Cricetulus griseus: one gene and its partners. The protein of the gene in region 2 interacts with the protein of the main gene of each other region in a biochemical or structural test. Links are inferred from orthologs where the notes say so. Each region holds a gene or a part of one and is shown on either strand. Other genes may lie near its edges. The genes, in order: Vangl1, Dlg1 and Ctnnd2.

Region 1 (3,653 bases), on a different chromosome or scaffold from region 2:
GAAGGACACTGGTCTATCATCTGCCAGTTTCAGTCAGCATCGAAAAATTTTTAAAAAATTCTTTATAAAATGACTCCCCCCAGACATATATATCTCTATATATATTCTTCTTTTGTTTTTCATAAAGCCACATATGTAGAACATTTAAACCGATGTTTCAGACTGTAAGCGAAGAACAAACTTGTGAGATTTGGGGTCTATGAACTCTTCAGAGAGTACGATGAACGGAATTTTCTTCACATTGACTACGAGGCTGAAGTCCAAGCATTTAAGGACGAAAACAATTCCATCCCGTAACCCGTTCGTCACGGCTTCGTCACTAATAAGTCTCCACTGTGTCGAGAGCCAGCGATCCTTGTCATACTGCAAGGTGGGGCCGGCGCTGAGGTATCTTTCAAGGAAAGCCTGAAAGCCAAAGGAAAACACGAGGGAAGTAAAAAAGGGCTGCTATGCTATGAGGCCAGGGGCCATCCTTTTAATCCCTAGGAAATGTTACCAATTACATGGAGACCTTAGACCAGAGTTCAGCATCTCATGCTGAAGCCCCATGAGACCTCTCTGGGGAGGGAAGACTACTTGGACTTCCTCAGTGGTTTTTAGGGTTTTTTGTTTTGTTTTGTTTTGTTTTGTTTTGTCTTTGTTTGTTGGCAATTTGCAACCAGAGGGTGAGGCAAGAGAAATGGAGTAGCTACCAGTGTTTATCAGAAGGCACTGCTAACGTGACATTTTACCTGCAGACACTGGCACCTCTGACACCTGCCTCCACCACTGCAGTAAAAGCTCCCTGAGGACAGCTCCCTGTACCTGGCACAGAGGTCTAGTCGAGTGAATCCAAGGCAGACAGACAATAACAGCCACAAGGACAAAACTGCATGCTCTACCACCTGCTGGCTGTGATGATGCTCAGTCATTTAACCTCTGTCTGGGTGGATACAACACCATTTCACTCTCTGGGCTACCACAAGCTGGAAGGGTTCAGTTCTCACAAAGCAGTTCCCACTGGAGCTCAGTGGGAACACTGTAACCGTTGGTTATTCTATGCAGAACTCAAGGCAGGTGGCCAGTTCTAGGGACAGACACACCAATGTCCCCTCCCCTCTCTGAGATAACCGAAGTTCTCTGATTCCACGACATCTTCCCACGTGCTATTCCTCCTTGTCCTTCACACCTTGCACTATCTTTGCCCCTGCTCAAATGGACTGCCACACTCTTCTGTCAAAGCTCCTGAAGCCACCTGGATGATCTCATGTCATATTTTACTTTCTGAACTATGACCAACTATGTCTCTTCCCCTCTAGGCTTCATGCTCATAGAGGGTAAGAACTACATCACCATTGTTTTCTTCTTTTGAAAGTGTGACTTTCTAGTTTATCTGGCACAAAATTAAATACACGAAACAGTTTAGTTGAGAGAAAGAATGAGCCAATAATATAAACTGAAAAACACTGGCATGTATCCATCTGGTCCTAGGCCGAGGTCAAGACATTTTCAGTTTTCAAGCAATCCTCTTTCGTAACTCCCCTACTCTGCTATGCAGCGCCAGCAGCTGTAGCCATGGTGATAGGTACACAAGAAGGTGCGGCTGGGTTCCAGTGAAATCGGAGTCACAGAAACAGGCAACCCCTGGCTTTGACTCATGAAACTTAATTCAAATGTGCACCAACAGACAAGCAGTTAGGCAAATCTGCTCCAGGTATTCCCAGGGAGCAAGACAGAGCTGCGTGAGTCAGGTGAGCATACATTGAAAGAAAGATCCAAGAAGCCTTGAGTGGAGAAAGCAGGTTTCCAAAATACAGACATGTCTAATATCAAAGCATTTCCACACTAGAACACAGACATGGTGGAGAGACCATACACTAGCCCATATCAGTAAGGGGGATATGGGCTAGGGGAAGTGGAGACCGGGAGGGGGGATTTCTAATAACTTTACTTATTTATTTATTCATTTATTTATTTACTTGTGTGTGTGTATGCATGTGTGTACATGCTCACGCACATGCATGACACAGCATGTGGATGACTAGAGTCAGTTCTCTTCTTCCAGTAGGTAGGCTCTGGGGCTTGAGCTCAGGCTTGGTGACAAGCACCTGTATCTACAGAGCCATCTCATCAGCTCAGGTTGTTTTGCTGTTTGGTTTTTGTTTCTGAAAAGGGTTCTGCTAAGCCCAGGCTGGACTAGAATTCACTACATAGCCCAGGGTAGTTATGAATTCATGATCTTTTGCCTCAGTCTTCCAAGCACTGTGATTACAATCATAAGTTACTATAGCTGGCTCAAAGCAAGAGCCTTCTACATTGGACATTTCTTTTTGTACAATAAACATCCAAGAAAGCATAAATTTTTAAAATGAAATGGGAAGAAATCAGACAACTTTAAGAAACCCTGAAGAAAGGAAAACAGCTGTCCCTTTTTCATGCCAGAAGTCATAATTCTGCACACAGGCACATAGTTTTGTATTTGAAACCTGTGTCCATGATCTGTTGTATTTGGAGTTTTGTAACTGAATACACAAACAAGTTCCCCCACCCCCATTCCAACAGATGATATACCACATAGCATATCAGAAACATTTGTAAATGATTTCCAGTTTGGAGTTATATAGGATATTCTAGGTGAGGGGCAATCCGCCTTCAATGTATAATTGTGAATATAGATAGTAATTGAAAAGCTGATTCCAGGACACTCAGTAACTTGCAGACATCTGTATACTGTAGAATCCATCATCTCTAGGTGACATACAGAATCTACTGCAATGTGATGATGCTAAGTAGCTGCTACACTATGTTGTTTATGGGACAGTGACAGGAAAGCTGTGTACTCACTCAATATGTCAGGAAAGCATGTGTGCGTGTGTGTGTGGGGGGGGGGGTGTGGGTGTGTGTGCTCAGTGTGACAGGAAAGCATGTGTGTATATGCTCAGGGTGACAGGAAAGCATGTGCACAGGCCAGCACAGGAGTGAAGGTTTCCACCCATAGCTGGCTGACTCTACAGATGGGGAACCCACACAGACAGAGAACTGATTATGGGCCTGACTGCTAATTTTCCTGGGCAAGAGACTACTGAGTCAAAGAGATGGAAAACATTAAAGTTTCTCACTGGATATTTCTGCCTGGCTTTTCCAAGTCAGAAGTACTGACAACTGTGGGAAGTGTAAGAGTAAGATGTCCTTAGGAAAAGAGCTATCAAATATTACCTATGCACCAATGCCAAGGTCATTCATGGGTCCACAGGATTCACATGCTATGTAACCTGACTTATCATTATTTCTTACACACCAACCCTGCAAAGCAGATACCCACCCTTTATATGGAGGAATCAAGTGTAGAAACAAACAAACAAACAAACAAACAAAAAATACATGTGCACAGCTACACACCAGCTGAGCGACTGGGGCGATGATCTGAACCCACCAGCTGCACCCACCCCTTCTCTTTTGGCCACAGTCCTCTATTAAATGACATTGATGGTTATTGTAATATCCATTCCTAAAGTGTACTGATGCCATAATCCAAAAGACTGCTCAGGAAACAAACTCTACAACATCCAAAATGGTGGCATCATTTCTACCAAAAAAAAAAAAAAAAAAAAAAAAGACAGCTACTAAGTTAGGCTGGATCAGATGACAGGTATAATTTTAACACTTCATGAATT
Region 2 (3,653 bases):
TCCTTTAATTTAAATTTCAGATGCCTTAATCTGAATCAAATCAAAATTATAGTGGTTTTTAAAAATCAAATATAGCTTTAGATAAATATACTCAGTTGGAACAGAAATAGTATTTTCTGTGGCTTCTTGGGTATTTTCTGTTTTGGGGTTTTTTTGTTTGTTTGTGTGTTTTGTTTTGTTTTGTTTTTATTGAGGCAGACTCACCTCATAGTCCAAGCTAACCTCAGACTGGCAATCCTCCTGCCTGAGACTCCAGTGCTGAGATTATAGGCAAGCAATCTCACATCCAGCCCTAGTACCTATTTATTGTAAATGTTTAGTGTCCCAGAGGAAGGAATTTTTGTTGGTTTCTGTTTTTGGTATGGGGAGGTTGTTATTTGGAGGCAGTTTTGTTGGTTTGGGTTTTTTTTTTATTTTGTAGTACTAGAGAACAAACTCAGGCAGCCTTCCAATAAATTAAATCTCCAGCAAGAAATGAAGATTTTAATGGATTTGATGATCTATAAATAAAAAAGCACATAATAGCATTAAGTTATGGAAAAAATAGTACATTTATGTTTCATCTTATATTTGTCAAATTTACCTTTATGGTTTAATAATTTCTCCTTTGTACTAAATCTTGCCGTGGATAATTTATGACATAGTACCTTTTTGTATGCCCTGTTCACGTCTCAGAAAGTCCTAGTATCTTGTGTGTGAGGAAATAGGTCAGTTGTGTGGAAGAGGACCACAGTGGCATCAGTTACCTTCATTTTCTTACCCTTGCTTTAACTCTCCATAGGTGGTCAAGAAGAATATGTTTTATCGTATGAGCCAGTGAATCAACAAGAAGGTTTGTGAAGTTTGTTAATGTTGTATAACCTTATTAAAAAGTGTATGTATGTATGTATGTATGTATGTATGTATGTATGTATGTATGTATTCAGGGCCAGTGAGGTGGCTCAGTGAACAAGGGTGCTTTCTGGCAGACATGATGACTTCATTTCATCCCTAGAAATGACATGTTGGAAAGAGAAGCAGCTCCCATAAGTTATCCTCTGATGTACTCATTCACACCACATCACACACAAACTTGATTACAATAAATTGATTGGTTAATTTAAAATAAAATTGAATATACTTCTTAGTTTGAAAAATCAGACTATTAGATGCAAAAATGTGTCAGAATTTTGCTATTTTAAACTATATATGTAGAAAATTGCTTTATGAATTTCAAGAAGAACTATTTAACCCACAGAATATTAGAAGCAACTCATTTTATATTGATTGTTTTTTATTGGTGATGTATTCCTAAGCCTGTATAATATCGTATCACTACCCTTGCAGTAACACTTTTTAAATGTCAAGAGACACTTTTAAACTCCTAGATTTTTATCCCTTTCACCCAGGCGGGTTCTAAGCTATTTTTATTCCTCACTGTATCTAATTCCTCCAACCACAATACTAGTCTGATGCTCACCACTGACTTCCTTCTTCAGATGACCTACTGTGTCCTCTGCTGAACTGTCTTTCTAGATCATGACTGCCACCCATCACCTCCTACAGCCACTTGGTCTACTCCATCTTCCTTCTCTGCGTTTAGTTTTTTACTTCAAAAACCACCAGTAAAACACCGTGTTTTGTTTTCTCTGTGTATTGAAATGTCTAAGATGCTAAATTTGACTTGATTGACTTCAGAGATTTTAATAATAATTTGTTTACAAGAGAACATAATGTTGAGAAGGAACAAAGAAGAGACACATCAGAATGGTTTTCTTCTGCTGAGCTAAAACACATTAGTGTTTGTTAAGTGTTTATTCCTTTTCATGTGTTTATCTTTGTAGTTAATTATACTCGACCAGTCATTATATTGGGACCCATGAAAGACAGGGTAAATGATGATTTAATCTCAGAATTTCCCGACAAATTTGGATCCTGCGTCCCTCGTGAGTAACCCAAATTTAAACTGTTCTAACACTTTCTGTCACTGTGTTTGGAGAAAGTAAATATAAGTGCTTTAACGAGTTAGAGTTAATTGTTTTATTAATTATTCCTTTGTCCTCAATATTATTTTCTCTTTTTTTTAAGATTTAAAAGTATTGTGTTAAACTTTTCAGAAAGCAATCAATTAAGTAGAGGATGTATTTATTCTGTTTTTAAATATGAAACACTTCCCCAAGTTCTTTTTTTATTGAAGATACAACTAGACCAAAGCGTGACTATGAGGTGGATGGAAGAGATTATCATTTTGTGACTTCAAGGGAACAGATGGAAAAGGACATTCAGGAGCATAAGTTCATTGAAGCTGGCCAGTATAACAACCATCTGTATGGAACAAGTGTTCAGTCGGTGCGAGCAGTAGCAGAGAAGGTAAGCACCAGAGCCCCCGGGCAGTTTCTAAGGAGGACACATACTTTTGACTTTTATTTGTATTAATAGAAGATAGATAACATAACCTTGATATTAATATTACTGCATTAGGTAAGTAAAATTTTTATTTTGAGTAGTTTAGAAAAATACATATGACAAGGCTGTCAAAAATCTGAAAATAAGATGATCAAATGCATCTGTAAAATGAGAGATAGTTATCTTAAGGGCTGTTTTAGAGGCAGACCTTATCCTACCTGAAGTCAAGTGTCCATGAGAAAAACTGACTAAGTTGTTAAGCATAGGGGCCAAAAAAGTCTCCCAAGTCTACAAAGACAGAGTAAAAATTCAAAAGTAATGTAACAAGTTTTGGGGTTTTGATTTTGTTTGGTTTTGGTTTGGCTTTTGTTTTTTGTTGTTGTTGTTTGGTTTGGGTATTTTGTGGTTTGGTTTGGTTTGGTTTGGTTTGGTTTGGTTTGGTTTGGTTTGGTTTGGTTTGGTTTGGTCTCTGTGTAGCCCTGGCTGACCTGGAACTCACTCTGTAGATCAGACTGGCCTCAAACTTAGAGTACTCAGGAGGCAGAGATCCACCTGCCTCCGCCTCCACCTCCTTAATGCTGGGGTTAAAGGTTCCAGACAACAAGAAGTTATTTTAAAACATTCTCTAATATATTGGTTAAAACAGTTTTTATAATGAAGTCAGGATTATGTGTTGATTATATCAATCTGTCCAGTGATTTCAAGGTCAGTCCAACAGTATCAAATCAGTCAGTAGGAAGCACAATAGAATAATTATCATCTTGAGGCCAGGCTGAACTATAGTGAGTTTCATACCAGGACCAGTGGTAGGTAGGCTAATAACTAATAGATAGGGAAAGTGGGTAAAAAGTTGTATTGATGAGTACAAACTCAGTACATATATGGATTATCACATTTAACCCTACTAATATGTGAAACTTCTGTCTGTTTAAAATTTCTCCATGTTAAAATCATCTTTGCCTTTGTAACTAGTTTCAGGGGTGACACTTTCTCAGTCTAGCCTAACCAGTCCAGGTTCAGTAAGAAAACTTATCTTAAAAAGTAAGGTTGAAAGCTAGGACAGCAGACTTTGGCCTCTGCCCTCCACATTCCCGAGCTTACCCATGCATGCACTACACACACCAGTGAGTAAAATACCAAGATCTAGAATGACAAAGCCTGAGGAACTGTGCCCAACTGATGACAACTCAGACACTGTAAGTAAATCCAGCTCGTATCCTGAATTGGAACCTCAACCATCGGCTTTCTACTGCTCCTTCAATAAGGAT
Region 3 (3,653 bases), on a different chromosome or scaffold from region 2:
CATGTAAAATCCTAGCTCTATTCAGGCGCTTCTGGAAACTGCTCCATCTCCATCATGGAAACTATGTTTAATTGGTAATCTTTTTTCTTACAGCCATCACCTAACTCATGAGAAAATCACATTGGCATGCCCCCTTGCACACACACATACTCACACAAACACACACTCACACACACACACACACACACACACACACACACACACACACACACACACACACACACACACAGTTTATCACCTTCAATTAAGTATAATGTTTCCACAATCAACTTTAACTTACATTACTGTAATAACTTCCAAATTACACTCTTCCTTTTGCCTTTGATCCACAGATTTTATTCCTAATATATCAACAAGAAGAAGCCTGCTACAAACTAAGCCAGGCTGTGTCACTTCTGCTCCGGCTCTCAATGGCTTGTCTTATGAGGCCTTCCTGATCTATTAATCCTTCTACCCCAGCCCCTTGGCAAATGTCTAACCTCATCCCATGGCCAAGCCTTCCTCCTGCTTTCCCCACTGTTCACACCAGACACACTCCTAGTCCCCAACCTTCAAACTCACTTTTCTTCTGTCACAGCACCCTTCCTCTAACATCCACAGGCCTAGCTGAGGAAACACTCAAAAGTCACCTGCTCATTATGGACTTCTTTAGCTACCCTATTGAAAGTTTTTGTTTAAATAATTTTATGTCCTCTATATTTGAGAGGTGGTTAGAGATTTTGGGGACTATGCAATCTCCAGAGACTGAACCAGTGGTGGCACACAAGGGATACATAGGGAAAGAATGTGAAATTAGTTGCTAATGGGTGTCACTACCCTCTATTGATACTTTAGTGGTCAGGGGCAGATCTCCCAATTCCCAGCTCTGCTGAGACAAAATATATTTTGTAACCTCAATGTGTTTGTGATCTTCCAATTAGTAGATGGGGTGACTCCCAACTTTGTGATGCTTGGAATGGTTGCAAACACAGGGCATCAGAGCATGAAAGCTCTGAAGTCTGTGAGTTCACACAGACCACAGTCTGTCTCCTACAGGCCATGGGTCCCTGTTTTCTAAGTGGAATATGAAATCTTATTTAAACCCAATGTTCACACACTATGACAGGATAATTTTGAACTCAAAACCACCAGTATCAATTTGCATGAAGAAATCTCTAGATGAATATTTTAACATGTATGTTAAACAAATGAATTCAAACATTTAAAATGTTCGTTGCAACTCTAAAATTAAGACTCTTCAATATCACATTGAATATCTTTTCTCACTAGGTAGCAAAAATGAGATATGGCCAGAAAATATGAGGAACAGAAGGAAGGGAATGTGCTGGTCAACTGAGTCCTCTTTCTGGCCAGAGAAACAGAGAAGTGTTCCCAGCTCTAACCAATAGAAACTTAAATGCATACACACACATCACTACCATCACCACCAACACCACTACCATCACCAACAACAACAAGAATACCACCACCAACAACAACAAGAAGAATACCACCACCACTACCACCAGTAGTAGTAGTAGTAGCAGCAGCAGCAAAGGTCCTTTCTTTAGACCTTTCTTCAAGATCCTACACATATATCTGCCTGGAGGGAAACATCCTCCATTTCACTGCAGTGTTGCAATGTGACAGGCATATGTCTGTCACACATAAGCAGGTGACAGAAGAGCTGGGAACCCCACCCCCAAACAAACAAACAAACAACAACAACACTCATATTTCCTTTCCTCAAGTAAACTCAGAAATGAAATATGGTCTTTAGTAGTCTGGACCCTGGATCAGGACTCCTTGAAGCTTCTCCAAGTAGCTGGTGTGTGGGGTGGGGTGGGGGTATTCCTGAACTTCAGTCTCCTATAACTTCAACTTCTTTGCTTCTTCTTGGTCTGATCTCATAAATTTAGTTTGGTGCCTGTTTCCCAGGCTGTTCTTCAAATTAGCAGCTACATTTGAGATATTTGGGCATTAATGATGGTCTACCTCCAAAATGTCACTCTCCAGGCAAAGCAGAGATAGTGATTATTTTCAGTTCTGTAAACTCACCTCACACAGTTCTGTAGATAGCATATCCCAGCCTGCATCCCGCTAAGCTAGGCTAGTCCATGCTGGCAATTACAGTATTTGAATTAAAGATGCCCTTGGCCACCTGCCTTGTGCCTGCAACAAGTTCCCTTTTTTTTATCCTATTTATCTTCACACTCATCTATTTGTGTCAAAAAAAGAAACATATGAGCACAGCATCTGTTACTAGAGTCACAAAATTACCAATACTTCTATAAGGGAAGAAATAGGCAATAAATCCAGATTACTTGTCAGGTGTTTAAGGAGGGAACATTAGTCTTGCAATCACGGTGTCTTGTTAAGCTGAGCATATGTTACTAACAGCAGATTCACCAGCTCAGCCTAGTCTGTGATGGGGACAGGCACCACAGAAATGTCACCTCTCTGTACTGACAAAGAAAAGCAACCCCCACCCCCAAACTCTAGTCCAACTCTCCCCACTCCGCACACGCCTATTAAGAAATATGAAACATGTTGAACACACTTCCCTATTGGTTTCTTTACAGTTATAACCTATGTAAGTTCAGAATCTGGTTTTGGGAAAAAAAAAATCTAACTTTCTCTGCCAGCTAACTCTGATCATACCCACTGGGATAGTAACTGGATTTCTTTCTGGATGCAAGCAACAGGTCTATGTGGTCCTACTAAATTAACCTTGTTGCTCGGTTTAAGTCTTCAGACTCCGGGTAGGGAAGAGGGAAGACAGGCGAGTGTTAGCGGCAGAGACACCACATGATGGGCACACCTGAACAAGGATGCTGACCTTCTTTCCAGACAAGCCCTGACATCGCTCACAGCCCCAGAATCTGAAAACTGGCCCCGAGGCATGCCCAGACCTGCTGCTTGGATCCAGTCCCCGCTGTACCCCGACATGCGTCCAGGTGAGTTGCGCCAGGGAGCCAACCCCCTTACCTGCCAGGCTGCCCGGCCTCTGGAGGGTAGCCGTGGCATACAGTTCCTGTGAATGCTTGCTGTACTGCTCGGACGCGTGGACCAGGCGCTTGGTGGGCGACAGGGTGGCGTAGGTGCCGATGGTGGAGCTCAGCTGGTGGATGGGCGAAGAGGAGATGGTGGACTGCACGGTGGGGGGCGAGGTCACGCGGATCGGGGACAGGCCGGCCGAGGACACGACGATGTTGATGGGCGAGCTGGTGCTGTAGGACTTGGCCAGGCGGCTGGGCGACTGCTTGGGCGAGGAGCCTCGCGGCGCAGCGTAGGCGGCACCCTCAGGGGCCGAGCCTCCGCGCTGCAGCTTGGTGGGCGAGCCGCCCTGCGTGGTGGTCAGCGGGGAGCCCCCGCGCGGCGGCGCTGGCAGAGTGGAGCTGGAGTAGTAGAGCGCGGCGGCGGCGGGAGGCGCGTCGGGCAGGTGGAAGGCGCTGCCCAGGCTGGGCGCAAAGGGCTCCCGCGGAGGTGGCGGCGGAGGCGCAGGCTCGGACCCCGCCAGGTGCCCCGCGCGACCGGTTGTGCCCTGTGCCGGGAGAACAGAGAACACGCGCGCTCAGTGATGGAGAAGCAGACGCCCACCCGACACGCCCGCCCTCCCGCCGGCCCGGCTGCAAAGGACAACTTCTGCGCCCAGAGCCTTCGGAACCCAGGCT

Evidence for each region.
Region 1: the proteins of Dlg1 (region 2) and Vangl1 interact in a test that uses a peptide from one of them, tested with the Homo sapiens proteins (2 studies listed by IntAct, with this or other methods). The link is inferred for Cricetulus griseus from reciprocal best matches to the Homo sapiens genes DLG1 and VANGL1.
Region 3: the proteins of Dlg1 (region 2) and Ctnnd2 interact in a test that uses a peptide from one of them, tested with the Homo sapiens proteins (2 studies listed by IntAct, with this or other methods). The link is inferred for Cricetulus griseus from reciprocal best matches to the Homo sapiens genes DLG1 and CTNND2.

The regions. Positions count from the first base shown.
Region 1 is NW_023276806.1:54,795,778-54,799,430, reverse strand, and holds part of Vangl1 (vang-like protein 1), read right to left. Parts: intron 406-3,653; coding exon 145-405; 3' UTR 1-144.
Region 2 is NC_048597.1:57,638,472-57,642,124, reverse strand, and holds part of Dlg1 (disks large homolog 1), read left to right. Parts: intron 1-781; coding exon 782-832; intron 833-1,823; coding exon 1,824-1,925; intron 1,926-2,176; coding exon 2,177-2,349; intron 2,350-3,653. UniProt on the Homo sapiens protein: Essential multidomain scaffolding protein required for normal development. Recruits channels, receptors and signaling molecules to discrete plasma membrane domains in polarized cells.
Region 3 is NC_048595.1:360,840,332-360,843,984, reverse strand, and holds part of Ctnnd2 (catenin delta-2), read right to left. Parts: intron 3,524-3,653; coding exon 2,968-3,523; intron 1-2,967. UniProt on the Homo sapiens protein: Has a critical role in neuronal development, particularly in the formation and/or maintenance of dendritic spines and synapses. Involved in the regulation of Wnt signaling.